4 linked regions of the Alligator mississippiensis genome follow. The protein of the gene in region 3 purifies or fractionates together with the protein of the main gene of each other region. This does not show direct contact. Links are inferred from orthologs where the notes say so. Each region holds a gene or a part of one and is shown on either strand. Other genes may lie near its edges. The genes, in order: RB1, STAT3, SP1 and SMAD3.

The links.
Region 1: the proteins of SP1 (region 3) and RB1 purify together in Homo sapiens (affinity purification with western blotting; 3 studies listed by BioGRID). This does not show direct contact. The link is inferred for Alligator mississippiensis from reciprocal best matches to the Homo sapiens genes SP1 and RB1.
Region 2: the proteins of SP1 (region 3) and STAT3 purify together in Homo sapiens (affinity purification with western blotting; 4 studies listed by BioGRID and IntAct, with this or other methods). This does not show direct contact. The link is inferred for Alligator mississippiensis from reciprocal best matches to the Homo sapiens genes SP1 and STAT3.
Region 4: the proteins of SP1 (region 3) and SMAD3 purify together in Homo sapiens (affinity purification with western blotting; 7 studies listed by BioGRID, with this or other methods). This does not show direct contact. The link is inferred for Alligator mississippiensis from reciprocal best matches to the Homo sapiens genes SP1 and SMAD3.

The regions. Positions count from the first base shown.
Region 1 is NC_081824.1:413,410,834-413,418,632, reverse strand, and holds the start of RB1 (retinoblastoma-associated protein), read right to left. Parts: upstream 3,018-7,799; 5' UTR 2,955-3,017; coding exon 2,848-2,954; intron 704-2,847; coding exon 586-703; intron 1-585. UniProt on the Homo sapiens protein: Tumor suppressor that is a key regulator of the G1/S transition of the cell cycle. The hypophosphorylated form binds transcription regulators of the E2F family, preventing transcription of E2F-responsive genes.
Region 2 is NC_081827.1:162,181,351-162,189,201, reverse strand, and holds the start of STAT3 (signal transducer and activator of transcription 3), read right to left. Parts: upstream 3,014-7,851; 5' UTR 2,906-3,013; intron 1-2,905. UniProt on the Homo sapiens protein: Signal transducer and transcription activator that mediates cellular responses to interleukins, KITLG/SCF, LEP and other growth factors. Once activated, recruits coactivators, such as NCOA1 or MED1, to the promoter region of the target gene.
Region 3 is NC_081838.1:8,792,629-8,800,085, reverse strand, and holds the start of SP1 (transcription factor Sp1), read left to right. Parts: upstream 1-4,440; 5' UTR 4,441-4,576; coding exon 4,577-4,583; intron 4,584-6,386; coding exon 6,387-6,490; intron 6,491-7,334; coding exon 7,335-7,457. UniProt on the Homo sapiens protein: Transcription factor that can activate or repress transcription in response to physiological and pathological stimuli.
Region 4 is NC_081834.1:4,232,725-4,239,766, reverse strand, and holds the start of SMAD3 (mothers against decapentaplegic homolog 3), read left to right. Parts: upstream 1-4,040; 5' UTR 4,041-4,107; coding exon 4,108-4,313; intron 4,314-7,042. UniProt on the Homo sapiens protein: Receptor-regulated SMAD (R-SMAD) that is an intracellular signal transducer and transcriptional modulator activated by TGF-beta (transforming growth factor) and activin type 1 receptor kinases.

The sequences.
Region 1 (7,799 bases), on a different chromosome or scaffold from region 3:
GGCTCAGCACAGATTGCAAGCCCCACTCAAAGCATGAATAAATGCTGTGTTGAGGACACGGGTGTGTATCCTGTACTGATCTTTGTGCTGTCATTGCTATACCACTATCAATGCCTAAGACAGCTATTTTAAAATTAATCTCAGGTATGCCTACAAATGCTTGTCATACCTTTCACTGCAGTGTAGACACAGTGTTGCACACATACACTCAGTACCATAAAATTATGTAAAATAAACAGTAGTCAGGACAGTTGGACAGCCAGCACAGCATTTAAAACCAGCACTATTTTTTTTATATATATAGAAGCAGTTTTTCTATATAGAAATAAAGGGGGACTATGCATTTTACTATATACAGTCATGAATACAACAGCATTTGTACATTTTGACTTGGGTAAAAATTTTCATTAGAAAAGTGATGTGGCAACATTTGAGTTCTCAGACTTAATTCTGAATCATTTGCTTCCCAGAATGGCTGTAAAAATATGTCAAGTCAAGCAAAGACATTAATATAATACTTGGAATCAAAGAATAGGTACCACTACTACAATATTATCATGAGCATTAGCTATACCGAGTACTCACTAGAGATCCAACCACAGATGACACTTTTTCATATGTCTTCCACGCACTTGTTCTTATGACATCCGAAACTTTTAAAATGTCACAAAGTGCAACAAAATCTGCTTCTCCAAACTCAACCCTAGCAAGAGAAGAGAAAAAAATAGTATTAGGCCAGTATGTGCCACCAGATAAGGGATTACTTCTCTGACAAGCTTACTAAGTATTAAAAATTAGATGTGCGGATCGAGACAATAGTTTGTCACATCTACAGCTAATTTCACAGAACATCTTACCAAAACAAAACAAAAAGTTAGGAACATTGCCACACACATGCAGAAATGTGAATAACCTGTTTATTCTGCAAAACTGTCTGCAAGGCTCAAACCTGTCAATCATTTAACATCAGAGATTCTGGACTGAAGGATGCAAGATGGAAAGGATTTAGAAAAAAGCCTGAACAAGGAAAATTCTCTCTGCAGCAAAAAAAATAAAATCAATCAACTCAGAAACAGGGTTAAGGTGTGAATTGATCATGAGCTACATGTATCTTTGGCAATCAGTCTAGCAAAGAAAATGTAAAACAAGTTCCAGTTAAGGGGAGTTGGATGGTACAGATCTAGATTAGAAATAAGGCCCAATTTTTTTACACTGAGGTTAATTAACCACTGAATAACTTACCAAAGAACATGGTAGATTTTTTATTACTAGCCATTTTAAAATGAAAACTAGCGTTTCAGAAATATTTTGCTCAAACAAGAATTCAGGAAAATCCTACAGCTCACATGACATAGGGCAGACTCAAGAGGTGATCTGCCACGTTAAGTCAGGCAGAAGCTAGGCCAAGGTGACACCTTAGAGACTAATTCAGTGAGACATGAGCTTTCATAGGGTCCTGCTGCCCCTTCAAATTAAAGCTGGACAGAAACCAGCTATACAATTGTTACACATTTTCAAGTACTAACTTTATAGCTGATTGGCTCGTTTATAGCTCAACAGTCCTTTTTTACAGTGATAATTCCTTTGCACATGTGGCTGGTCTTAATTTACTGTATGCTTAACCAGTTAACTGTATGAGAATTATGTTGCATGTATGGCCAGCCTACATGCATTATAAGATTCACCAGTTAACTGTTTAATATATGTAATGTGTAGTAGGGGCCACAAGCAACAACCCACTTTGTTTGAGGCAGTAAATGGGCTGCCAGAAATAAATTATTTTATATAGAAGGAAAAGGGACAAGGGGAAAAAAGAAATCTTTTGTCAGATGCTATGAATGGACTTGCAGAAAAGAGCAGGTTTTTGCCTACGCAAGGTCATGCATTCCCAAGCTAGGCCAGGCTAGATCAGTGGTTCTCAAGGAGAGTTTTTTTAGCCACACACCCCACCTCAGGAAATGCCAGCTCTCCAGTTTCACTTGGGGGCTTTTTGGGTGCAGAAAAATATTAGAGCAATTATTCTGTTGCAAAAAGCTCAACAAGTCCTGTGTCCGTCGTTCCCCACCACCCCGGGGCTGAATGGTACTTCCCATATTTCTGGGCTTTGCTAGTTGCTCCCACTACCACTGTGTTGGTGTTTTTAAACCTGCCACAGAGGCATTGAGTGTTGGCTGCAGCCAGGGCTGGGGACTTTCACTGGGATGTGCCAAGGCTCCTGCTAGGAATCAAGTCAGAGGTTCCTGGCTAGAGGGTCTTGCCCCTCCAAGGGCTCAGGGTCACACCAACTGCCAGATTTGGGCATAGGAAGGCGTTTTAGCCCATGATCAGACTGACATGGACTGTGCGGGTTTCTGGCTTCCAGAGTGGCAGGGTCGTGGGTACCCCGAGCGCATCCCCACAGCAGCAGGACATTGGCTGCAGGGCTTACCCCATGGCATGAGAGAGTGTTTGGTCTGTATGCCATCACGGTGGAGGGCAGCACTAAGGAGAGCCCGGACAGGGACAAGGCCACCTCGGGGCAGGGAGCTGGAGCTCCCTTCCAGCCCCATGTCTCCCTGGCTTAACATACAGATTCCTATTCAAGTCCCGTGGCGCGGGAGGGGTGGGGGGGATTATTTTACAAATCTCTACAAAGCTACAAGTCTCCCCCAAGACCTGGGGCGGCCTGGGGAGACCCCGCACTCTCGCACCCTGCAGAGTTTCCTCCGCCCTCCAAGCAGCGGCCCAGAGACACCGCGGCGGGCGGCCCCCCCGCTCCGCTTCTCCCCGTGCCGCCCCGGGGCAGACCCGCCGCAGCAGAGGGGATGCTGTCCCCTCCCCCGGCCGCGCTGGGCGGGCGGGGCTCACCTGGGGGCGGCGGGCGGGGGCTCGGCGGGGGCCGCGCCGCGATCCGGGCTGGCGCGTTGCCCCCTAACGGCGGCGGCAGCACCCCTGCGCGGGGGCCTGGGCGCCATGTCGAGCGGCGCCGCCGGTGCCGCCGTTTAAAGAGCCGCGGAGGACACTGCGCGGCCGAGCCGGGAAACCGCGGGAAAGCACGTCAGCCAGCCCCACCCACACTCATAGTCACTTCCGGCTCGCGGAGCCCGGGGAGTCTACAAATGGGCGGGGCTGAGGGGAAGTGGCCAAGATTCCGGAAGCAGCGGGTGCTGATCACGTCATGCTTCGCACGAGCGGCGCAGCCAATGAGCTCGGCCGAGCGCTCGCCAATGCTGGCCAATAGAGAGCTGTCCCGGTGACGGGCTCTAGCTTAGTCATTCCCTCGCCGGCAGGGGCGGGGCTGCTCGTGTCATCCAGGGGCGGGCGCAGGGATTAGGGAGGGCGGGTGCTGGGCATCGCGTCGCTGGGTGTTTCTCCAGGCAAAAATGAACCTGGTAGCAGGCTCGGGGCTCTGGGCTGGTTTGGGCAGTCTGGAATTAAAGCAGAAATGAATATACTGTACAGGTTCCCATCGTCTTATGCTGTACATACGCTCCTGGAAAACCTCCCATCCTGCCAGCTGGCCTCTCCAGGGAAGGAATTCTACCTGCTCAAGGCATCAAAATGCTACTCAACACAGCTCACCAAGGCACTCTCATGGACCCCGAGGGTCAGCCTTCCATCTTCAGCTCCATCTGTGCAAAAATGAAGTTTATTTCCTACTCATGGGGAGTTTTTACCATCTTGTACCATCTACACTTTTCCCAGAGCCTGACGAAGGGACTTTGATCCCAAAAGCTTGCAAAAAAGGACAATTTTCTTACCTTTTATTAGACCAACTGGAAAATGGCATCATTCTGGAACAAGGAGTTCTAGTTTTTTGTATGTCCTCCTGTAAAACGACTCATAACTCAAATTTTCATTTGCATAAAGGGAACCCACTTTACAATGTAACAAATAGGAATACATTCCAAGACCTTGACTGTACTGATCCCCCAACTCATTTCTACCACTTTTACTAGTCAATTTTCGTACTCACCAACAGCAGGCAGTACATGCAAGCACAGGGTAGGGGTGAATGTTACCATAATGGGGATGGCACCTACAGAAACACTTGTTGGAGGCAGTGAGCAAGGCATGCAGATCCACACGGGAAACTGTATTTTGGTCCACATCAGTCCCTTAATGCAACGCACAAAGCAGCTGACTGCAGGCTTCCACCACACCGATCACGTAAGAGTGAATTTACCTCACATATAACAAATTTTTGGTCTAAAAGGGTCATTGCATAAGAGCAAATTCGCACATACACAACCTGCATACAAGGAGGGAAACCTGTAGTTGCTAGAAAATGAGACTAGGTTCCCCTGCTTCCCCTCCCCCATGCCCCCAGCATGAGGGGAAAGCCCCTTCTCTTATATTCCTTTAGAAGTGTAGCAGGGCTGCAGCTCTGACCCTGGCCCTGAGCCTAGGTTGGGGACAGAGTCAGACCCATAGCAGCAACAGCATTGCCAGGTGTACGATAATATATTGGTATGATAATTTTAAGCCTTCCAGTTCTCACTCACTCACTCGCTCACTGGAGAGTTACATTGAGCAATATAAAGTAAATAAGAAGAAGATGTATTTGCATACTTCTTTCAGTATACAATAATTTTTCAGAAAATACAATAATTTGAGCTTCCAATATGATAATTTCATATTTAAGGCCTGGCAACACTGCACAGCAGCCTCCTGCCTCCTCCACTTGTCCTCTGCAGTTGCCTTCCCTTCCCCATTGCTCTCAAGTGCAGCTAGGCTCTGGCTAGGACTAGAGGGGTCTCTCCTGGGCACAGAGCCAATGGAAACTCCTTCCCCTTCCTGGCCAATGAGCAGCGCCAAAGCTGCAGCTTGGCCAGGCAAGGACTGGTGCTTCCATGTGCTGTCATCCAGGAGGGAGCAGCCCAAGCAGCATATGGGGGTGGGGGGAGGGAAAGAGGCAGAGACTGGAGTGCAGGTGTTACATAAATTGCCAACTGTTCAAATCACCAGCGATGCCTTATGAGGGCGATAAGGCAAAGAACCATGTTTATTGATTAAGTGCTTAATACACACATACACACCCCACATTCATACCCAATTTCTGTTCTGTGCTGGTATATATTATCAGTCTTATCGGTGCTCAGATCAACTTAGTGGCCAGCCAAGTTAATCCAATCAGGAGTCATGCTTTTTCCAGTACATCTCATCAGACAAACCGAAGCTTCAGGCTGACATGCAGAATAATACCCAAAATCAATATATCTCGCCCCATTTTTATAGCTTTGTCAATTCCTTCAGTCCTCTGGGCTTTAGCTAGGTTATCACTGTGTTCTTTCTTGAAGGTTGATTGCCATTGTTCTCTCACTGTTCTGGGGCAGATTCATCTTGTTTGGTCGTTTATTAGTCTGAATTCTTCAGCCAGTCGCTAGCTGATGTTTTCCTATTCCACAAACATATTCTTACACATACAGCATACAAAGAGTAAGAGGTCAACCACTTATGTCAAGCTACAGAGCAATACAAAACAGAGTTTCTTAAGGAAATTAAAACCTCAAGAAAATACATAAGATTAAAAGCAATACGCAAAAGTCTATTTCCATGTTATTTACCTAACATCAAGCTGGTATTTATGCTATTTGTATAACATTCCTTTCTTGGATCCTTTAAAACATTTTGTTTTGAATGGATCACTTTATAATTTTTGCAAGGCTATATATTGTAAAGCAATTAAAGTATGTGATTTTAATTTAATACATTTGTTTTATTTAACAACATATACAACGTATTACAATCAGCACTATTTTAGTTAGTATAAAGAAGATGATAATAGAATGTAACATAACATTTAGGACCACTATTTATGATGGTGATTATTCCTTGAAAATAGTTTACCTATGGTGTATTATTATTTGTTTAGCTTGTTTAGATACTTTTAGAGTTTTTTAACCTTGGTGTAAAATAGTTACAGTACACAGTTGATTTTGTTTTTGTGTTGTAGTAGTAAGATGTTTTGTGAATTTGTGAATTTGTATGTTTTGTAACCAATAATTTAAGGTAGTTTAATTGATTTTTAAAGAGAAATGGAAATTAATTAAATTATTTTATGTTTAGGGGTGATTTTTTTAAGATGCTTGTGCAATTTAAAATGCTTAAAAGAAAAGTAATAAAAACATAATAAGCTGATAAGTTTTAATAAAGCAATAAGCAAAGCTAAGTTAAAATATTTGGGGTTCCTGCCATGCAGCTTTTAGCATTCTATGCAGCTTTTATATATGTCTCTTGCAAAGAATCACTTCACAGAGAACTGGCAATCATCAAATACATCAAGACAGTGTTAGAACAACAAGAATCATAGCAGCGAGACACTCCACAGCTAGGCTTGGAGATGCACATGGACTGGATTAAATACCTTCTGGGTTTGCATTTTATGTGGAATGCTAACAATCATAAGTACCACAGCCAGCCACATGTTGTTAATACACAATATTGTAAAGAGGAAAATCAAGTACAGAACGAACTATTTTGGATGAAAAACAGTCCTTCAGTTATAGGGTAAATAATTATTTAATCATTTCATATTACTGTGACAGTGAAGCTGTAGCACTTTCTTTCTACTTCTGTTTTTAGGAAATCTTTTCTACTCAAATTAGAAGAGCTGTCCATAGTTAAAAGTCTAGAAGTGCACATATCAATAGTTCTCAACCTTTTTAGATTCAAGGCACCTCTTGATGGCACCCCACTGGAGGCACCCCACTGGAGGCACCCCTCAGAAAATGCTAGCTCCTAGTTTTCTCTCAATTTTTGACTATGGACAAATACTAGATCTATTCTCCTGTTGCCAAGAACTCAGAAAGACCACAGCTGGTCAGAATGTTTTAAACATTATGGAATCCTATTTGAAATTTCTGGGTTTATCTTGTGAACCATGTTTGCACAATTAACAGTGGTAACATTGCATGGCACTCTGCAGCACACTTAAAATGATGTCAAAACTCCTCAAGATGCCTCAGCACCCTGGTTGAGAATCACTAGTATATATCATATGCAGTTAAAAGGATTTAGGATAGCAAGTTAAAATCCTAAACTGCAGCTCATTCTGGAGCCCATTTTCAGGAATGACTTTAGGAATGCAAAAGAATTTGAAATGAGCAAAACATCACAGAAAATTTTGTTCCAGACATTAGGGATCTTTACAGCTGTCAACAAGTTGAACAAATAAAAACACACACACTTTCTTTCTCCCAGCAAAGCCTCCCTAGGCAGCTGCTGTAGTGTTTTATAGTACCACCTTAGCTCATTTATGTGACAGGCAAAAAGTCTGGGTCCTCCTTGTACCCCTTTCTATAGCACTGCCTAGGGAGCAAGCTTTTTATCTTATCACAGAGTTCCTAAGAGTTATCTGTTGAACTCCATGGGAACAGTATTTTGTTTAGAATTAGACAGGTATTAAGGGTCAGATTCAAAGGCAAACTTCAGTGGTTAAAGTCTGCCTCTGCCCTGTTTTAGGAACTGAAGTCCAAAATGTGATTCCAAAAAAACCCCCCAAAAAACAAAACCAAAAAACTCAGCTCAGCAGCTCCTTAAATTTGCTAAGCCCTCTTTGGCCAGAATGTTCCCTAAGTGTCTGCAGTTCTGCTTTTTGTACCTGCCCGAACTGCCCCAGTCTGAGCAACTCACCATCTAGCTCCAACCAAAGCTTCAATGAAATCTATAAACTAGAGGGAGTGGCACCCAAGTTCCTTGAGCAAACCATTCTGATATGCAGGCTTTGAGTCTTCTTAACACATCAGTAGCATTATGTTGAACACAAAGCACAGCCATCACAGCCATTTTCATTCAGAAATACAAGAGATAGGAGTGAG
Region 2 (7,851 bases), on a different chromosome or scaffold from region 3:
TAAAAGATATGCAGCCCATTGGTCACCTCCATCTCTGGCTCAAGTATGCTTCCAGGATCCTTACCAACCCTGAGCTCTCCCTCCCATAACAGCATGCAAAAGCAACAACTTCTACCCTCTCCAGCTGGCTGGGAGACTCCATTCCATAGAAGGAGACAGGAACCTGGCCTCAGTTATTCACACCTTCATCACCTCTTGTCAGAACTGCAGCCATGTGCAAAAGTCCTGCAGGGCTTGGGATACTTCAACAAGTACAGAGGCTGCAGCCCTTCTCTTCTGCAGAAACTGTCATACCCGATCTCTGCACCTGGCATTGGCTTCCCAGAGAATTCCAAACCACATTCAGGGTCTCAATCCTTACCTTCAAGGCTCTTAGAGACCAAGGCCAGGCTAGCCTAGTCAAAAGACCAACTACAGTTCCAGGATGAAGACAGTGGTTGGTGCATTCACTCTGGCACTAAAGGTTAAAAGTACATCCATGCACTCAGAAGATCTCTGGTTGCTAGTGAGAGACTACATGGCAAACTCCCCCAGGACCTTCTACTGTCTGTTTCAAGTGCCCTTTTTTGGTCCTATGCGCTGTAACATGCATACATGTACACATATATACAAGTGCAAAGCTAGAACATCCCACACACTTCTCCCCCTTGGGAGGTGAAAGAATGCATACATGACAGATGTTAGCCACATGTCTTTATGCAATTCTCAGACATAATGGTGCTCAGCTCAGCAGTACCAGAACCAATGTAGAAAGCACTAGCCTGAAGCTTGGAAGGCTACGGTTCAATTCCTTACTTTGTCACGGATCCTTTTTATGACCCTGGGCATATCACTCTTCTATAAAGTGGTGGGCAAGTTGCATTGAAGATTATGTGATACAGATACAGTGACTAAAAGGCCCTGGGAAATACTTAGGTAACCTCTGGCACAGCTGCTCTGTATTACTACCTACTGATGTGAAACGGAGACCTTGAGTTTTACTTATAACACCAGTCAGTTCTCTTTATATAAACTACTACAAAACCACTGTCTGGTCCAGGCAATGAAGCCCATGTTGCACAAGAGACTCTCTCTAACCGGAAGACTTTGGAGCAGTTGCATCAAGCAACAGGAAAATATGCAAGCCAGAGTTCACACCTGTCTCAGAAACACGAATCAGTTCACCAACCTTGGTTTGACCAAACACAGAACCACAAGTTTCTGGTTTTCAGTCTTCATTACAAGTAAACTCAATATCACAGCAATTTTAATCTAAGATCTGGTATTGGACCAATGCCTGTAAGGAACGGTTCTGCAGCTTATGCTCTGTGTTCTTTAGGTGCTCTAATAGAAATCCTTGTCCTCAGTCATTTCTAAATTTGTGGGATAAGGATCATTTCATGGTTAAAACTCTGAGAAGTACACACATCTGCTTGGGAACTAAATCCCAGGATCCAATATAAACTAATAATCCTGATGTTTTGGTTTCTTGAATTTTTCCTACATTTATCCATAGATTCCTGCTCTGAAAAGGCATTTTAGACTCAAGTCTCTTAGTGTTACATTTTAAAAATGCATTCAGCAATAGAAGTATGTTCACTGAATTAAACAAGGCCATTTTATACTCCTGCTTGCATAGAAGAGATGATATTTGCAGGACACACAAGACCTTATAGTTTTAATCTTTACAGACATTTTTGTCAGCAGCAACCAGTCCACCCCAATAACAACTCCTGCCAAGCTCAAACTTATAATAATTTTATTAGGTGTGAGAAGGAAACAAATCTCTTTTGCAAAAGAAATGCCAGGTGGGGGCATTCATTTCTCCTCTTAAAGTTTCTGATCCCACGCCCTTTAGAAGCAATGGCAACGTTCTGCCCAATTCTCGGAGAGGACTGGCACATCTGCAGGCAGTAGAACAATGGGAGGCTTCTCTCCTCCGCAGTGCTTGCGGTACTAATTAATGCCACAGGATTGTCTACTGAGGGAGAGCTAGAAATTGGAAACTGACTAACAACAAAAACGAAACTGATGACTCTTTTCTTGAGCCAGGTTATCTGAACTACAAACATAAACACCGTTGTTAGAAAAAAAAAAAAAAAGAAGCTTTTCAAGATCCATGCTACTGGGAATAGGGTTTTCTAAAAACTCTCTTCAGCCTCAGCTATCCATGCTACTGGACTCCAAACAGTGCAGGGGATTGGCAATTTGGGAGTGCTGGCAGTGAAGTTTTGTAGACATGAAACACCCTGTTTTACTGAAACTGCTGTGCAAACAGACACTGGCTGGGTCATCATAAACAACTCTCAGCAGGGTCATAATCCAACCAGCAATTTCAAAGCCTGGAAAGGCTGCAAGGAGCCTGAGAGCAGCTCAGGAGGAAGAGCACCAAGATAGAGTCCGCAAAGGCCTGGAAGCCAAGATTCACAAGGAAGGCTCTCCACTGACACCCAGCAATGGCAACAGGTGCATCTGCCTGTACCCCATGTGCAACCTTCCTCCTCGGGCCCCTGCCCAGATCCAGGGACAAGAGATGGCACAAGCACTGGCACAGACAGAGCTCCCTAATGGTGGCGGCACCCGATTCCTGCCAACCACAAATGCAGCTGCACCATGCCAGCGTCCCAGATGACCTGATACAAGACGTGACGGATGTGCGAGAGGGGACCAGATCCGGTTGCCACAGGCATCACCACCAGATTTCCTAGCTCCAGGGCATTTAAATCTGCCAACCACAGCCCTCACTTTCTGCAGGGCCCACAGGCCTGGCTCCCCTGGGCCGGGAGCCTGGAAATGCTCCAAGCCACCCTGCATGCCACCCAGCACCCACGCCCAGCGGCTGCCAAAGCCCCCTGGAAGGGGCACCCACTCGTGCCCCAGCACCCCGGGCACTGCCCCCCCGGAGGCCAGGCTCGGCTCGGCTCACCTGCGGGGAAGGGCTCCCGGGCCGGGCCGGGGACGGCGGCTCCGGCTCCCTGCGGCAAGCGGGGATCTGATCCCTCCGCGGATGACGCGAGACCTGCCACTCTAATAGCCCCGCCCCCTCGACCCTAACGTCACAATCGTCCTAGCCAATGGCTTCCCGGGTGAGCTCAGGATTCGCGGGGGACGGGCCTCCCCAGCCAATCAGCGCCTCCAGTCCCTCCTGGTTCTTTCATTAATCAGGAAGGCGCCGGCGCGTGCCCCCTGGCGGCTGTTCCGGGTGGGGGACGCACCTCCCACCGCGCGGCCGAGCCAGTGGAAAGGAGAGGCCAGGGCTCGCGGCGGGCGGAACGGCGACTGCCGGGAACTTCTGTGCTGGAAACTCAGCTGAGTTCCGGGCAGCACTCTGACGTCAGCGCAGCCGGGGCTGTTTCTGCTGCCGCCTCTTAAAGGGCCAGAGCAGCCGAGCCAAGCGGGGGCGGGGGGCACGTAGAGCCCCTCACCCCGCGCCCTGGGATGCTGCGGCTCATCCCGCCGCGCTGGTCCCACCCATCCCGTTGACCTGCACGGGGGTGTGGACCCACACACGCACATGCATATACACACGTGTACACATGCACACGCACACAAATATACACCTGCGCACGCGCGCACACATTTACACATAGGCGGACAAGTTTCTCTGGGTAGATGTGATCTCTTTTATCAGACCAACTGTTCTTTGCAACCTGCCAGGCCCAAGCACCCTTCTTCAGGCATAGAGCGAGTCTGCTCTGCTGGTGTGTGTCTGCTCCCCTGGGTAGAACAGGAGCCAATATGCAAAATGCAGGTCTGTGAAAATATAGGTGGGAATGGGGGACAATAGGTGAGAGACAGGTTGGGGGTGGGGGAGAAAGAACCTAGCTGGTAAAATGCAGACAGGCTACCTGGGTGGGCGGGGGCGGGGGGGATGTAATACACACGTGCCGCAATGGCTCATACGATTCACATGCCCTAACCAACAGAGGCATTTGCCTCGGGTCCATGAACATACTGGGCATCTTGCCCCATTCCAGAACAGCCAAGTTGGAGATTTTGTCATGCCATGTTATGCCCAGGATACAACAGAGACATCAAAGATGGAAACTTGTTTTCTTTTTTCCTTAGCATAAGAAGTCCATGTTTCGCCAATAGAGAGCTAAGTACACATGTATACACACGTGTAGACATACACATATGTCTGTACATACACATATGCATACTCACACATACACACTTGTTGCTGTTCATCCTTTGAATTTGAAAATGACCAAGACATCACTGGTTGGTTTGGTTTCTGTGAACACGTGAATGGCTGATCAGGCCAATTTGTGCTTAGAACGGTCTATGCCAGTGGTTCTCAACTTTTTTGTACCAGGGCCCATTTGTAAACATTGATGGCCAGTCCCAACCCACTGCCCCTCACTCCTGACCCACTACCCCCAGGCCCCAGCCCTTCAGTGTGTAGGGCAAAGGGGAGGTGGGATCCAAACAGCCCCTTGCAGGCTAGAACTCCTCCAGCCTGCAGGGGAAAAGCCACCGTTTCCCCATGTTTTTCTCCTTTAATGGAGAATCCATTTTAAAAAGTTCATTAATCCATTTTTAAGGTTTGTTTGTGACTCTTTCATACATTCTTGTGACCCACAGGTTGAGAAACACTGGTCTATGGCAGACTGAGCAAGAGATGCCCCTTTGGGTTGCTTGCTGCTGTTGTGAGATTTACGCTGTTTGCACTTTTCTGCCTCAGCAGTTCTCCGCTCATAGACAGTAGCTCCAGTATGGACGAGGCTTCACCAGGTGGAACGATCATGAGCAAAATCTTCCCAAGATTTTGGGTCAATGTTGAAATGTTTCAAGGATGACTTGAGGGAGTCCTTGAAGCATTTGTTCTGGAGAGCTCTTTCCCTCCTTCAGCTCACTGTGAAAGATCTTTGGCAGTTGCTCATCTGATATCCTGGCAACACAGCTAGCCCATCTCAACTGTAATTTCATCAACAGAATGTGGATGCTTAGAATGGCTGCCCATGTAAGAACCTCAGTGTCTGGGACCTTGTCTTGCCATCTTATCCTCATCAGTTTCCTCAGACAGCCCATGTGAAAGTAATTCAGCTTCATAGCATGGCATCTGTACATCATCCAAGTTTTGCATGCATACATCAGGATTGGCAACATAATGGCTCTGTAGATCTTCAGTTTTGTTTGTTGACCGATGCCTCTGGACTCCCACACATTTACATGTAGTCGCTGAAGGCCATGGTTGCTTTAGCAATTCTGGCATTTGTTTCATCAGTGATGTGAAGCATATGTGACAGTGTACTTCTGAGATAAGTGAATTTGTCCACTGCCTGGAGGATTTGGCTATTCATTGTGATGGTAGACTCTACACATGGCTTTCCTGGTGCAGGTTGGTGTATCACTTCTCTTCAGCTTGTGAGATTTGGTCTCACAATCAACACTAAGACGACAGAAGTAGTCCATACTTCACTGCATGTCAGACTCAGATTTGGTATTCATGGAACAGTCATTAGCAAACAGAAGATCACAGTCACTTCCTGTAAGTTTGTTTTCACCTGTAGTCTCCTTAGATTGAAGATCTTGCTATCAGTCCAGTATCTGATGTCAATCAGAGCATCACAGTCACGAACGGCATCTGTAAGCACAGCAGAGAAAATCATACTGAAGAGGATTGGGGCTAACACACTGCCCTGCTCAACTCCATTGGCTCAGATGACTCACCGGCATCCACAACAAGAGCAAGCATGCCATCATGGCACTGCCAAACCATTGCAATGAATTTCTCCGGGCATCTAAATTTTGCCATGATCTTCCAAAGGCCTTCCCAATTGACTGTATCAAATGCTTTTGTCAGGTCAATGAAAGTCATGTACAGGTTTCAGGAAAGGACACAGAACCATAGACATAGTGTTTGCATCTTCTCATATACACATGCACACACATGTATACATGCACACATACACGTAGCCGTACATGCATGCATAGACACACACATATAGACATGCACATACTTAAATGCATGCATATACATATGTATGAACATATATAGATGCATACACACGTACGCACACATATGCACACATACCTACACATATGTATACACACCTGTTCACATGCACATACATACATATACAAACAGGTCACACAAACACATGCACAACGGCATATACACACATACACATAGATGCATATACACATACATACATACTTACATACACATATATATTGTATATACATACATAGACGTGTCCACACATGCATATACATACACACACATGCATATTGGGGCAGACCTAGGATTTTGAAGAAGAGGGTGCGGTGAGGTCCATCACCTCATATAAAAACAATACATTTTTCTCTAGTTAAAAAGAAACTAGGGGCACCTATACATGTGCAGGCTGCTCCTATGTATTGTAATTACAGTGCATCAGAGCAGACTCGATTAATTGAGTCTGCTGGAGCATGGCAATTACTATGCTCCAGCAGACTCCAGCATCTTGTGTATTAGCATCCGCATGCTGAAAAACGGTGGGGGGGGCATTGTAACTAAAGCTTGTTCGACACGCTTTGAAGTGCCCCTGCCAACATTTTTCAGCATCGGGATGCTGATATACGAGATGTTCAGGGCATGTTAATTAGAGTGGCTCTTGGAGCAGCTCTAATTAAAACACCTCCCCCCACTCCCAGAGCACATGTATAAACACCCAAGAAGCTTTACTACTATGCTAGGGGCCTAGGCTGTACTATTCAGTTGAAGTTTGAAGCAAAAAAAATATATAACTTCATTGGAATGGAGTTAAAAACAAGCAGTCTGCAGGTTTTGTGAAATAGGGGTTTCCTGACCAGGAACAGCTAACAGACAGCACAATTGCAAGACACAGGCTACCTTGGTTGGTGGAACATCAAGACCACTAAAAAGAAAAGAGGGTCATTAATACCTGTGGGGTGTAGAGGTTAGAGGGGATCAGGTACATGATGATAAGATATGCAGTCAAGTAACTCCCTCAGCACTACCTGACTAGAAATGCTGCTGCCATTGCCAGGCACTTGGTTTTAAGCTTTGGGTGGACCAGAAATCAAAGCAGGTACAAGTGCACCCTTCTGGATCTGCCCCTGTATGTATACATACACACATATCTATGCTGGTTAGTCTATAAAGTATAAACATACCCCACCCTCTACTTAACTTCAGACTAATAGGTCTAACTATGTCTCTATATCAGCGTAACTGGCAGCCTGGTGCCCCCAAAGCAGAGATGACTCTCCTGCCCTGGCTGTTGCTTTTAGTGGTCTCAGGGATTGCTGGCCTGCCTGTGACGTACAGGGCTGCTCAGCAAAGGCCATGAGATGTGGGCGACTCATTGAGTGCCATGGAGGCTAGGGAGGAGGTATTCACACGGGGTATGACTCTGCAGTAGTGGAAGCAAGGCATTGCACCTCTTGCTGTGCAGGAGGCATTGCCCCCTTAGGAGTGTCTCAGCCAGTCCAAACAATAATCCTCAAACAGGCTTGAGTGCCTGTGGCCCTGCTGCCTGGCTTTGCTCCCCTCAGTCATTCCTCATCACAGATGCATTAATCCTTAGACCAACAAACAAATAAATAAGTAAATCAAACTGTCAACCTTTCTCCAGGCAGCAAGAGAGGGCCCTGTAACTAGCACTTCCCAGAAGTGCACTATTCTGGGTTTCAGTCTGTTATCTACCCATCAGCTGTTCCTTCCCCCAACTTGAGCTGCTTGCCCTCTCCCTGCTTGGGCTTTTAATTCCCAGTTTATCCTTTACAGCTGGGCTCCTATCCCAGGGCTGGCTGCCCTACTTAAAAGGTGAGACTGCCCACTGTTACAGGTAGGTTAGAGACTTCTGTGTAATTTGGCTAGTACTGGGAAAGCTAGGTATGTTCTACTTGCAAGAGCCTTGC
Region 3 (7,457 bases):
TACATGGCGCCCGCCCCGGCAGCTCTGGGACTACTGCCTGCTCCAGCCAGTCTGGGACCCCCATGAGCAGCATAGGTCCCAGGCAGGTGGGGGCAGGTGCTGGATCCGGTATGCTAGGCGAGGGGGTGGGGAGGAGAGCTATGGGCCTGATCCAACCCCATGCCACTCCTCCAACCCCCTGTGGCACCTCCGGCATAGGGCAGAGGGAGCCTGTCCCGGTGGAAGCACTGGCAGGCGGCAGCCAGCAGGGGATAGGACTCCTGGATTGTATTCCCAGCTCTGGGATGGGGGGTGCCATCTCATTTATGGGGTGGGGACACTGAATACTCGAACTCCCGGGTTTTGTTCCCAGTTCTACCATGGGAGGGTCTAATATTTATTGGTGGCGTGGGGGAAGCAGACATCAGGACTCCTGGGTTCTCTTCCTGGCTCTGTCCCTGCCTTGTTTAAAGCAACCTTTGCCCCCTCCTCACTCCTCTCCTCGGGATCTGGCTTGTTGCCTCTGGCTCTGATTCTCTCTAGCAGAGCATTGGGGGGTGGGGGGGGCTGGAGCAGGGGCAGGGAGGGAGCCTGTGGGGGGGCCTAGAAGGGAGGAAGGGTTAGCTGAGGGCGAGGGCTCCACACCCATAGGCTGCAGAAGCAGATAAGGCTGCAGGAAGGCTGGGGCTCCCCCCCTCCCTGCCTGGCTTGGCTGGCCAGGGCCCAGCAGCTGCCAGCAGCCAGCTCACCCCAGCCAGGGCCCTCTTTGAACAGCTCCTGGCTCATTCACAGGCTGCAGGGCTCTGCCATCGACCAGCAGCAGGGCAGGCTGCAGATCAGCTTGGAGGGAGGGTGGGCTAGTGGTTAGTGCCTGGGATTCAGGACTCCCGGGTTCACCTCTCAGCGCTGGGAAGGGCCGCTGGATCAGTGGCGGGGGTCGCGGGCATAGACATGACCCCCTGGCACCCACCCTCCTGCACAGACATGGACCAGTCAGTGATGGGGACAGGGTGGCCTGGATCCTACTGTGGGGGGAGACTGAGAGTGAGGACTCCTGTGTTTTCTCAGCTCCAGGGGAGGCGAGGTAGGGAGCTGCTGACCCTCTCTGTGCCTCAGTTTCCCTTCTGTTGCAGAGGAGGAGGAGGAGGGCCCTGCTGAGGTCAACCCAGAGTAGCAAAGCCCGGTGAATGGCACCAGTGCTGGCTCCTGCCTATCAAAGAGCCCAGCTGGCCCATCCTCCAGCCCAGCCCAGCCCAGGGGCCGGCCCAGGAAGGAGGGGATGGACTGGCTCCACATGGCTTTGTTGTCTGCCTTTGTGGCAACCCATTGCGCTGGGATTTAAAGGGACAGGCTGGATTTTCTAAGCCTGGGGAGGCAGGTGGCTCCCTCCCAGGGGTGGGGGAGGGAACCTGCCAGTCTCTGCCCCTGCGCTGCATTTGCTAATGGGGATGATGCTGCAGATCAGCTATAAAAATAGAACCCCCTCCCCGCCAGGCTTGACAGCCACAGTGCTGTGCAGAAGGGGTCAGCGGCATTGCCCCCCTTCTCAGACAGGTAAACTGAGGCAAGGACTTGTCCGAGATCACCTGGGAATAGGATCCAGGCCACCCTGTCCCCATCACTGACTGGTCCATATCTGTGTAGGAGGGTGGGTGTTGGTCATGTCTATGGCACAGACCTTTGCAGGCAGAGCTGGTCAGTCAGGGAGGGCACGAGGCATGATCAGGAGGGCAAAAGAGGAGTGAGGTGCCACGTCAGTGATGGGCCAGGACTTCCCCCTCCTCACTGTTAGCTATGGTGCCTGCAGCAGGCAAGACCCAGGTGACTTTCCCGTTCCACAGATGGGGGAAACTGAGGCGCAGACGTGCCATGAGCTCCCCAAGCCATGCCACGAGGCTGGGAAGAGGCTGCTGCCTCGTGACTTCCCCTCCTACCCGGTTGACTGCTGCCCTCCTTTTCTCGGCACTAATTATCTATCATGCTAATAACAGAGGATGTTATGGAAGGCAGTCAGGCCGCCCAGGACACAGCTGGTTTGAAGGATGTTATCCAGAACGATGCTGGATTTGCTGTCCAGCTAGTCAGCCTCATGGTGGTCGGCTCCAAAAGTCAAGGACTTTGGAGGAGTTCCAGAGTAGGACTTCCAGATGCTCCAGCTGTGTCCCTGGTGCCGCGGGCCATCAGTGTTGGCTGGGGGTGGTTTGGGGCTGGGGATGCTGTCAACACCCTGAGCTCTTATTTGGAAAGCAGTGGCAGTCAGGCAGGCAGCATCTCTTTGCGGCGGTGGGAAAGAGCGTGGTTGAAATGTTTCTTCCCTTCCCCAAAGCAGAATCCGTGCCGCACCCACCAGCCCAGGGTGGAGAGCGGCTCAGATGCCAGATTTGAACCAACACTCCCTCTGAAATGCGGAGGCTCTGGAGGGGGAGGCACGTGCTGTGCTGCTGAACTCAAGACATGCGAGAGGGACTTTTTAGGAGGAGACGTGGGAGGGCGAGAGTCTGGGGCAGGCTACGCAAGCGCATCCAGTACACACGCAGGGGGCTAAACAAGCTGACCTGCGAGCTCCCATCCAGGCCTGACTCCGCTCTTGAACAAGCCTTGTGTCCTCCTGTTAAGCATGGGAGGAGCTTCCTGGAAAAGCCAGGATGGCTCCCCCATCCTTCTCCTAATCCCTCCCTCTGCCCAGGTGCTCCCAAACCTGGAGCAGAAGGCAGCTGGCAGGCTGAAACTGCAGTTCCCGTAACTCCCCCTTCGGCCCAGCTGCTCCTGGCAGCCACCTGATGTCTCTGATCTCACATGTTGATTGCAGACTTTTCCGGGCAAAGAGCATGTGGTTTTGCTTTGGGTCTGTGCAAGTATCTAGCCCTAGAGGGGCCTTCTCCTCCACGGGGGAGGGGGCTCTTTGATACGGCAGCCCTCTCAATAACAACACTCTTGGAGCGTTTTGCTCGGAGGGAATCCTGCTTGACAAACCCACGGCGGTTGTTTTCACAATGAAAGCTCTCCAAACCTGCCAGCCAGGACGCAGTGGGGAACGAGGAGAAAAAAATGAAGCGGGTCTGTCGGAGGCAAAGGGCGGTTGTGTTGGGTGACGGCACAATTTTCCAGCTGCTGCGAGAGAAAAGAAAGGGCAACTGGGCGTTGCTCGTAAGGACGCCCGGGACCGAGGGGGATAGATCCGAGTGCAGTTCTGACCCCTGCCCTTTCGATCTCCAGCAGTCTCCAAAATCAACAGCATGGGGCGGCGGGGGGGTGGGGGGTGGATTTTACTTTCCATCCCCGCCAGGATCGTTCTGCTCCCGGCTCCGCCGCAACGAGACGTGTCGGGTCCTCACAAAACCCCGGCTCCGAACGCCTCCAAAAGTCCAGCCCCGCATGTGTTTTGCACCCACCCATTGCAATAATCATCAGGGTGCCGCACGCCAGCGGTGCGGGCTGACCCGTTCCTAGGGCCAGACGCTGGCGTGAGCGAACCGAAAGGGGCCCCGAAAATGGTCGTTTAAACATTATGATGATCTCTAGCGATAGTTTAGATTTAGATTTATTTTCCAAGGCTTCAGCTATCCGGCAGGAGGCCTCGTCCAGGGTCTCCGCAGGTTTCAGGGAGCAGGGCCTGGCCCGAGGGAGGCCACGTGGCGACAGGCCCCGCTGGGCGACACGTGGTGGCAGGGCGGTGCGCGCGTGCGGTGCTTGGGCGCACGAGGGGGTCGCAGGCACCTCCTCAAGGGCGTGGGCGGGGACTGAGCTAAAATGGCGCCGCTCCGCCACATTCCCCACCGCCTCTCCTCCCAGCGTGTAATCCACCGCCTAGGCCTCCCGCCTCCTCGCGCGTCCCATTGGCCGGTTTGAGGGGGCTCGCCTCTCCCATTGGTCGGGGATCCGCAGCCTCACCAGTCGCCTGGCTTCTGATTGGTCGTTGTGCACGCCGAGCTCCAATCCGACCTGCCTTACGTCAACGGGCGTGGGCCTGCTTGACAACTGATTGGGGAGGCTGGACGTCGATCTGATTTTCGTCCCGCCCCTCCTCGCGAGGCGCTGTCTTAGGAGCCCGCCTAAACTGCGATTCGTCGTTCTGCCTGTCAATCACTGCCTCCTTCCACGCTTCCCCCAGCCTCGCCCTTACGGGGTCTCCCTGGGAGCCCTCGTGCCTGCCGATTGGCCGCCCATCACGTCACTCACCCTTGGGCCTCACCCCCTCATCCCACCCCCGCCGGGGGAGCTGCGCGGGCTTCCTATTGGCCGCCGCCTCCGTCACTCCCTCCTTCCCCCCTCCCTCATTGGGCGGAGCCGTTCAAAGGGGCGTATCTCAGGGCCGGGGATTCGGGCGGGCTTCTCCCCCTCCCTCCTAGGCTCCGCCCGCTTCCTCATTCGAGGGCCGGCTTGCCACTCGCCGCGCGTCCCGCCCCCGCTACCGCTCCGCGGCTCCTGATTGGGCACGGCCGGGCTGCGGGGCGTGGCCCGGGGCCGGGGCCGCGTCGCGCCGCTCCCTCCCTCGCCAGCCCTTTGGCGGTCACCGGCGGGGTTAGGCTGCCTCGTCACCGCGCCGGCCTCCGCCCCTCCCCCGGCAGCGACTTGGACTCGCCCCCCCGCGGCCACCATGAGCGGTACGGACCGGACCACCCCGGCCCGGGGGAGGGGGCCCAGCCCTGCCCCGCCCCGCCCCGCCCCGGCCCGGCCCGGCCGCCCGCGCCGAGGGGAGGGCCCCGGGGGAGGGGGCTGCGGGCGGGGGAGGGCCCGGGGGAGGGGCCGGCGGGCGGCCTCGTGGAGCGGGGCGCTGCGGGGAGGCCCGGGACCCCCGGCAGGGGGGGAAATATGGGGGAAGGCCCGGGATCCTTGCGGGGGGGCGGGAAACGTCATGGGGAAAGTCCCGGGGATCCCTGAGGGGAGGGGGCTGCGGTCCTTGATGCGGGGGAGGGCAAATATTACGGGGGAAGGGACTGGAGGCTCTGACAGAGGGGTGGGGGGGCTGAGGAGGGGGCCAGATGTCGTAGGGGAAGGGTCTGGGGTCTCTGTAACGGGGCTGGGGGCTCTGACAGCGGGGTGGGCGCGGGCTGAGGGTCATGAGGAGGGGTGCAAATATGGGGGAAGACCCTGGGATCCCTGAGGGGAGGGGAGGGGGCTGCGGTTCCTGATGGGGGGGCAAATATCATGGGGGAAGGGGCTGGGGGCTCTGACAGGGGGGTGGGGGGCGCTGAGGAGGGGCCAAATATCATGGGGGAAGGGGCTGGGGTCCTTGTAAGGGGGCTGGGGCTGAGGGTCATGAGGAGGACGGATATGGGGGGGGCTGAGGGCTCTGACAGGGCGGTGAGGGGGGAGCTGAGGGCCATGATTTGGGGGGGGGTGCAAGTGTCATGAGGAAGGCTTGGGATCCCTGAAGGGAGAGGATGGGGGAGCAGATGTCATGGGGGTATCCCTGAGGGGGGGGGCCATGAGAGAGAAGGCAAATATGGGGGAAGGGCCTGGGATCCCTGTAATGGGGGGGGTGCTGGGGGCTCTGAGGTGGGGGGAGGCAAAGGCCCTAGGATCCCTGGGTTGGGGGAGGGCAGCTCTAAGGGCTCTTCTCTCCCACTTGCCCTGGGAGCTGGGGGGAGGCAGGGAGGGGTTGACCCCCACCCAGATCTGAGGGCAGGGCCGAGGGAGGTGCCAGGGAAGAGGGGGAGGAGGGTGAAGTCTCCTGGGCAAGGTCCCAAGGGAACAGGCTGGAATTGCTGCTGGGCAAAGGGATTTCCTGTGGGGTGGGAGTGAAGGAGGCCTGAGGCGGGTGGTGGAGTAGGGCTGGGTGGGGAGGCAGGGACTGACAGGAGGGTTGGGGAGTGGAGCTCGGTCCTCCCTCTGGCCTCTGTGCCACCCTCCAGCCTCAGCTCCCTTTTCCCACAGTCTCTCCATTGTCCCAGCGCCCCCCCCCCCTTTATCTTCCCATTTCCCTTCTTGTGGCCCTGAAGTACCCAAAAATGGAAGGAGTTGGCCCTTGGCAGGTCCTACCGTGTTGTCCACCCACTCTGCGTTCCCACCCTTCCCTCTTGCTGCTCTTCCTTCTCCTTTATGTCTGCTTTCCCCTCCTTGGACTTGTTGATGGGTCAGCCAGCAGGTGCTGGGCGATGTGCTGTGCTCAGTGTCCCCCCTTGAAGCAGTCATTCATTAACCTTTGATCTGCACTCCCACCCACCCTGTTTTCACTTGTCCCCCAGAATCTGTTGGAGCACACATAGTGACCCTTTCTAATAATGGGGGTGGGGAGTATACAAGTTTCTTTGTGGGTTCGCCCCCACATTCCCAATATGTACCAAAGATACATCTCCTTTCCCCCACTGTGTCACTCTGTTCAGCCTCTCTCATCATTCTCTTTTTGGTGAACATTTTCTTGCTTTGCTTATCACTTGACCTCCTTTCTCCCCCCTGCTCTGCAGACCAAGAGAGCCCCGAAGAAGTGGCTGTGGTGAAGTCTGAGAAAATAGAAGGAGGTGGTGACAGCAGCAGCAACAGCATCAGTGAAGGCAATGGGGAGGGTCAGGTGAGCAGCGCATGGGTATGTGTTGGGGAGTGGACAGCTGTCCAAATGGGGCTAGCTCCATGTTTTGCTCTTGTTTAGGGGCCCTGTTGAAGTACTAATATGCCCTGTGAACCCACAGAAATGTTTGATTTGAGTCCTGGGACTTCTTATGGTAGCATCATGACCAGTACCTCTCTGACGGCCAAGCTTAGGAATCTCATTGAGAGAGAGGAGGTTTAAGTTTGGGGCTGCCGGTTGCTTCCTTGACCTCCCTTCTCTAACACACACTAGAGCTACTGTGTGTAAGCCTGTATGTACAGTCTTAAATAAATCCCTGAACAAGCTCTCCACTGCACACACTTCTCACCCCAGGGAGAGGAAAGAAGAATATAAATGCCCAACAGACATTGCCTAAAGCAGTTCTGGACAGCATTCTGGTGCCTCCAGTATGAACACAGCCTACAAAGAGCAGTGGCTGCCTCGCCAGGGTCATATCCGGCACCCTTGGTCTTCCAGAAATACTTAGCACAGCTGCTGCTTTAAACACATCTTTATAATCGAGGACGCACTCAGATGGGTGTCTAGAAGCAGCAGCACTTCCTCTTAGGACATATCAGTTCATAGAGGGGAAACCCCCTTGCTTTGGGCTGAGCTGCAGAGATAGTTTTAAAGCCACACTTTATTTTCAGAAACCCCTAAGCCCTGTCAGGCCCATGTCTGCTTGGGGTGCTTTCCGGCTGTGGGTGGGTGTTTGTTACTGAGGAGTGTTTATCTTGTGGGCGGCAGCTCCTCCCTGTTTGCTCTCATGCGCACTGCCCACTAGGCGAGTTCTGGCGAATTAACTCCTCCTTTCTCTGCTTGTCAGGAATCCCAGCCTTCTCCCTTGGCTCTGCTGGCAGCCACATGCAGTAGGATTGAGTCTCCCAATGAGAACTCAAACAGCTCCCAGAGCCAGCAAGGCGGCTCGGGCGAGCTGGACCTCACAGCC
Region 4 (7,042 bases), on a different chromosome or scaffold from region 3:
GGGAGCACATCAAGGGCTCAGTGAGCAACTGTTCACCAGGGCACCCGAGGGGAAAACCTGGAGGAATGGCCACAAACTCCTGGAAGATCGATTCAGGCTCAACATTAGGAAAAACTTCTTCACAGTTAGTGTCCAGACTGGAATAAGCTCCCTCCAGAGGTTGGTGCAATCACCTACCCTGGACGTCTTCAAGGGGAGACTGTACGGTCCCCTTGCTGGGGTCACCTGACTGCAGTTATCTTTCCTGCTTGGTGCATGGGGCTGGACCCGATGATCTTCCGAGGTCCCTTCTGGCCTTACAATCTATGAAGCTACCCAAAGTACCTTGTTTACGTATATAGCTATACTTCAGAAATTAGACTTACTAATTCAATAGTTGGGTACAGAAGTGGGGGTGGGGTATGAGATGTTTAACACTCCCTGATTGTGTCACAACCCCAAGTACACATTAGAGCAGTGTAAAGGCAATGTCTATGGCTCTGCAAAGGACCACTGCCAGTTAGGGATAGTCAGGGTACTTCAGCCTGCCAGTTCTGACATACCCCTATGGAGAGAGCTGGCTCTACGCTTGCTTTGGACTCTCCCGCTCCCTTTTTTACCATGAGCAATACAAAGAGAATAGTGTGGAGCAGAGAGTCTGTCCTTTGGTCTTGCAAGCAATTAAAAGCATGCCCAGCACTAGTGTATCTCTGTGTATGTTCACAGGCTCTTTAGAAGGAATTTGTTTTCACCTTGTGTTAACGATTAATTCTGTATTGTCTCAACTGAAAGCCCAGTTTTCTTGTTTTAGAAGGTAAAGTTTAAACTTATTAATTTAATGAACGTGCCGCGTAAACTAGTTTTTTACTAGATCTGGCAATATATTCATGTAATTAAAAGTATGAGTAATGCACATTATCCATAAAAGTATTTTTGGTTTCTTAAGTGGGCTCCATAACTGTACATATCAGTAGGAACAAAATCTCAGTGGATGAGATTGAGTCCCAGATGGTCCCAGACTCAACATGCAGAGGTCACATGCGTAAGGATGGTCACATAGGTAAGGATACTAAAGATGAGGTGTATTTTAAAAGATGAAGGCAGTAGTTATATTGCTATAAAAATTTATGCTTATTGCTTATTTAGCCTGAAGGTAGCCACGAAGACATCAGACTTTTTATAAACCAGAAAAGGGATCCAGACCATGAAAAATTAGGATGGTTCCATCCTTTTCCTGTCTGTTAATATTTCCATTGTGTGAGTATCCAAAACTCTCCGAAATAAAGACAGACTGTCTGGGGGTTCAGAAAGGCATGTTTTCACAGGACAGCTCCTTTGACAGGTAAACCAAGCACTCCCAGAGGTGGTTCTATAAAACTTAATGTCCCTAATCTTAAAAATGAATGCTGCATCTTGTTACCAAATTTGTTCCCCTTTTGAGCTGTACTGATCTCCATGCTGATGTAATCTGGGATGTGGCTCGCTGAGTTCAACGCACCTACTAGGGTAAATTGGACAGAATTAAATCCAGGGTGTCTCGGCACAAGAGAAGAAGTTAAATGTGAGCTAGAATTGCTGGACTTCATTTGCTGCTTTGCCACTGACTGTTAATTTGGGAAAAGCACCTAACAGCCCCATGTTTAAATTGACCCATTTGTTCCTGTGAAATAATAATCATAATATCTCTACCTCATGTAAACGCAGCGAAGCTTGGCCCGTGAGCGTTGGTTGAACATTTTGAGAGCCTTGTTTGAAACGTACTAGATATCTAAGTCCAAAGTACAAACTATCAGTTCAGGGTTGAGACTTCAGTGTTACTTTTCACTTCTCTTTCTGAGTTGCTGCCCCATTCCAGCACAGAGTAGAAACAGCCTCTGCAGAATCTACCTTTTGGTTTAAAATCCTGAGATTTAAAAAAAATAATAATAACCCACCAGGCTTCTTTATTTGTATCTTCTGGGTTTTGAGCATTTAGGTTACATTTGGATCGGTATTAAAGTTCCTCTCCAAACTTGTTAAGGAAAGAAACGTTTTAAACGAAAGCTGAGATTCTCGCCTAAATCATTTGATTTCACGTGCTTTGGCTTTTAAGAAAAAATGCCGAACATTGCAAGCATTAGCAGTAGTGACGGTTCTCTCTCATTTGGGGTGAACAGTTGCGGTGACCTAACTGTAGGCTGAACAGCCAGAGGAAATAAATGTTTGCCTGATTTTCAGAGGCATTGAACAACCACTGCTAGAAATGTCATCAGTGCGATCTGCAGATACGTAGCCTCTCTCTTCTCAAAGCATCTCTATGTGGGCAGTCAAAAAATGGGTCTCTCAAAATTAGGGCTGCTTTCTAGGGCCTGGAAACCCTGGCTGAGTGGAGAATTGCAGACCCTGGAATCTGGGGCTCTCAGTAGCCCACCTAGGACTTGTGGAGCAGCCAGGAAAACATACACAGCTCTTGTTTGGGGTTTTTTAGGGTTAAGATACGCTCTTATCTGGAGAGCTTTCTCTCTGCAGGTCCAGGCCCCGGCAGTTTCCAAGTCTCCACCAGGGAAGGATGAATCCTGCCTTATTTGCACATCAGAAAGCAACTCCCAAAGACACCCTCGTGCACCCAGAGGAACAGATGTCCACTTTCAGCTTCCTCTGTGCAAAAAATGAAGTTTATTTTCTACCTACGGGGACTTTTTACCCTCTTTAATTCTCCCTGAGCTTGAGGAAGGGTGTATGCCCAAACACTTGCAGAAAAAGATCATTGTTTTTGCGATGTCTTAGTTGGTCTGATAAAAGGTGGTGTCCTCTCTGAATTAGTGCTCAGAGGAACATCCCACCGCTTTACTCCTCTGTGAAATATGAAACACCATCACCAGAAGGAAACATGAATACATCCTGCTCACCAACAAACAACTTCGAGGGAAACAGATCTTTCCAACTTCTCTCTGAGCCTAACCTGCAAATGAAATGAACTTTTCCAGACAGATTTTAACCACTTTCAACACTCCTATACAATGTAAACTGTCATTTCTCCCCAGGAGAACGTTTACAAGCTCATCTCTGATGCCCGATGAAGGGTGCGTGCACCCGAAAGCTTGCAACGAAAGAAATTTTTCTGCAAATGTCTAGTTGGCTTCATAAAAGACACCGCCTCGACCATGAGCCCTGATCTCTGAGCTAAAGGGTCTCGAGTGTGGCACCCCCCGAGTCTCTCTTGTACGCGGCTCGTTTTGCAGCAAGATTTCAGGGCCCGCTTCTTGCTTTTAAAGCTGTTTTCGGCTCAAATCTCCCTGGCGTGGAGGACAGAACCAGTCCCCCCAGGGTGTGTGTGTGTGTGAGGGAAAGGGAAATGGACGTTTGCTCTGGGACTTGGGGAGTGTGCGGAGAGGAGAAGAGGTGCCCACGTCAGTGTGCATGTGTGTGTGAGGGGAGAGGAGAGGGCTGCGCCTGGAGGGGAGGAGAGGTGCCCGTGTGTGTGTGTGTGTGTGTGTGAGGGAAGGGGAAATGGATGTTTGCTCCTGGCCTGGAGCAGTGTGCGGAGAGGAGAAGAGGTGCCCATTTCTCTGTGCGTTTATGTGAGGGGAGGAGAGGTGCCCGTGTGTGTGTGTGTGTGTGTGTGTGTGTGTGTGTGTGTGTGTGTGTGAAGGGGAAATGGATGTATGTGAGGGGAGGAGAGGTGCCCGTGTGTGTGTGTGTATGTGTGTGTGTGTGTGTGAAGGGGAAATGGATGTATGTGAGGGGAGCAGAGGTGCCCGTGTGTGTGTGTGTGTGAAGGGGAAATGGATGTATGTGAGGGGAGGAGAGGTGCCCGTGTGTGTGTGTGTGTGTGAGGGAAGGGGAAATGGATGTTTGCTCCTGGCGCGGGGCAGGGTGCGGAGGGGTGTGTGTGTGTGCGTGTGGAGGGCAGCCCCGTGTGCGCGGGCGGAGGCTGAGGGGCTGCCCCGGCGCGGGGAGGCGGAGGCGGCGGCGGTTGGTGGCGGCCCCTCTCCTCCCCTCCCCTCCCCTGCCCTGCCCTGCCCGCCTCCTTCCCGGGCGGGGCGGCCGCGGGCCATTTGCAGGAGCGGCGGCGGCGGCGGGCGGGCGAGCTGAGGCGAAGTTGTCGGCGGCGGCGGTGGTGGCGGCGGCGGCGGCGGGGCCGGCAGCATGTCGTCCATCCTGCCCTTCACCCCCCCCATCGTGAAGCGGCTGCTGGGCTGGAAGAAGGGCGAGCAGAACGGGCAGGAGGAGAAGTGGTGCGAGAAGGCGGTGAAGAGCCTGGTGAAGAAGCTGAAGAAGACGGGGCAGCTGGACGAGCTGGAGAAGGCCATCACCACGCAGAGCATCAACACCAAGTGCATCACCATCCCCAGGTACGGCCCGGCCCGGCCCGGCCCGGCGGGGTGCGGTGCGGGGCGCACTTAGTGCGGGATCCCGCTTTGTTCCCCTCCCCCCAGCCGGCATCGCCCTGCCCCGGCACCGCGGCTGCACGGCCCCGCACGGCCCGGCCCCGCACGGCCCGGCCCGCTTACGTTCGGCTGCACAACTTTTGCGCCCTGTGGGGCTGCGTTACTTTGCACACTCACCTGGCTCCATTACATCTGGCTGTGTATACTTGCACACTGTGGCGTTACGTTACTTTCGCACACTACATGGCTATAGTACATGAGGTGATATTACTTGTGCACGCTAATGTGGCTATATGACATTTGGCTATATTTGCACACTGTGGCTGTATTACTTTGCACGCTAATGTGGCTACATCGCATGAGGTTGTATTTTGCACACTAATGTGGCTATATTACATGCGGTTATATCACTTTTGCACGCTAATGTGGCTATATGACATTAGATTATATCACTTTTGCACGCTAATGTGGCTATATTACATGAGGTTATATCACTTTTACACACTACATGGCCATATTACATGAGGTTATATTTTGCACACTGAGGTTATATCACTTTTGCACACTAATGTGACTTACATGAGGTTATATCACTTTGCACACTACATGGCTATATATTACATTAGGTCATATTACTTTTGCACACTAACGTGGCTATGTTACATTAGCTTATATTTTGCACACTAACGTGGCTATATTACATGCAGTTATATCACTTTTGCACGCTAATGTGACTATATGACATGAGGTTATATTTTGCACACTAATGTGGCTATATTACATGAGGTTATATCTTTTTGCACGCTACATGGCTATATTACATGAGGTTATATAACTTTTACGCACTACATGGCTATGTTACATGAGGTTATATTTTGCACACTAACGTGGCTATATTACATGAGGTTATATCACTTGCACACTAATGTGACTATTACATTAGGTTATATTTTGCACACTAATGTGGCTATATTACATTGGGTTATATCTTTTTGCACACTACATGGCTATATTACATGAGGTTATATTACTTGGCACATTTACATGGTTATAGGCTCATTATTTTGTTCCAAAAAAGGACGCCGTTCATGCAGCTGAGTGGGATTAGTAGGTAGGTGAGGGATCGCACGGATCAAATAACTGACTTCATGCAGATTATTTATGCAATCTTGTAGGGTTTTTTTGGCACGGTTGTGCCCACAAGGTCCGTTATAACGTGTGGGAGAGCACAAGCATTTCTCAGAATTTGAGAAGTGGCCATAAGGAGGAACATTTTATAACTGAAGTTTCTGGGGTTTTTTTATTTCTCTAAGCTCACTTACATGACTGTCATTCTTAGTACTGTTGATTATTTTGAGGAATAATACAACACTGCTTTTTTTTTTTTTTTTTACCCAAAGGCTAAAGTTCATGCAAAATATTTTAATGCTGTATAATTATATGCTTCTGTGTGTATATATGCATGCTTTTTTTGTCTGTCATACACAAATGTGTGCTGTCGTGGTTGTCAGAATGATTTAATATGCAGTGGCTAGTACACACAAAGCAGCATCTGTTGCATGAACCAGTGAAACAAATAGCTTTAAAATGTTGGGAAAGTTTGAAACTCTTGATTTTTTTTTTTCATTTATTTATTTTTTTTTTAAAAGGCTGCTTCATCAACCATGAATTTTAATGATCATTTAATAGCTTCTCATGACTCTTTTTTTCCAGTGAACAATAAATACTAAATTAGATTTTGGTCACTAAATCTAGATTGATCTCATTGGAGTTACTCTGGATTTTCAGGGTTGAATCTGAGATTAGTATCTGCACAACTCGTGCCTGACATGCCTACCCTCTAGCCTGTATCTGAAACTCTTGATAAGCAGTGAAATCCACTCTATTCAAAGCTCTTTGTGGAAGTTTTTTTTTACTGTATTGCAAATTTGGGCGGGGGGGGAAGGGATTTTGAAAAGTCCAACCACTGATGTGACTTGTGTTTTTGTATTTTGGATTTCAAAGACTCACTGCTGCTCTCCTGTGAAGAGTCAGAGAATGAAATGACCTAAAATGTGCTTCGGTAGGAACACGGGTGTTTTGAGAGGGGTAGAAAGCTGTTTTCAATAAGTTGTAATTCATAGGAAGCATTTGGTGTGTGAGAGAATGCATTTAAAAAAAAAAGCAAGTAACATCAAAAAAGCAAATGTCACAAACTCTGAACACTGCCAGGACACTCTAGCTAATGTTTACCGTGTAAAGTGAATGGCTGTTTCTTTATTTTTTTTTTTCTGTCCTGGAAATCTGTCTGCTAGACAGAGTCCCCCAGCAATTAAAATCTTTCATTTGTTCATGACATGGACCCCAACCTCAGTCCTTAATCCTTGATATCAACTGGAATTTTGCCTGATTACACCTGACACCATGGGTCCCTTCTAGCAGTAGTTATTTGTCACCTGACACTAGCTTCAAGTATTGAAAATAGTATGCACTTTTACTGTTATTTAATCCTTCTATTGCAATCAAACCTAATGCCCATACCCAGGCTAGTCTGGTGTAGGTTAGCTGCAAACATGGTAAAAGACAGTCCCTGCCCTGTAAAGATGAGTCTTATAGATGAAGTGATTTGCTCAAGGTTATACAGCAGGTTAGTGTCAGAGCCATAACTGTAAGCCAAGGTCTCCCAATCCCTCGTGGGGTTGGTGTCTTACCCC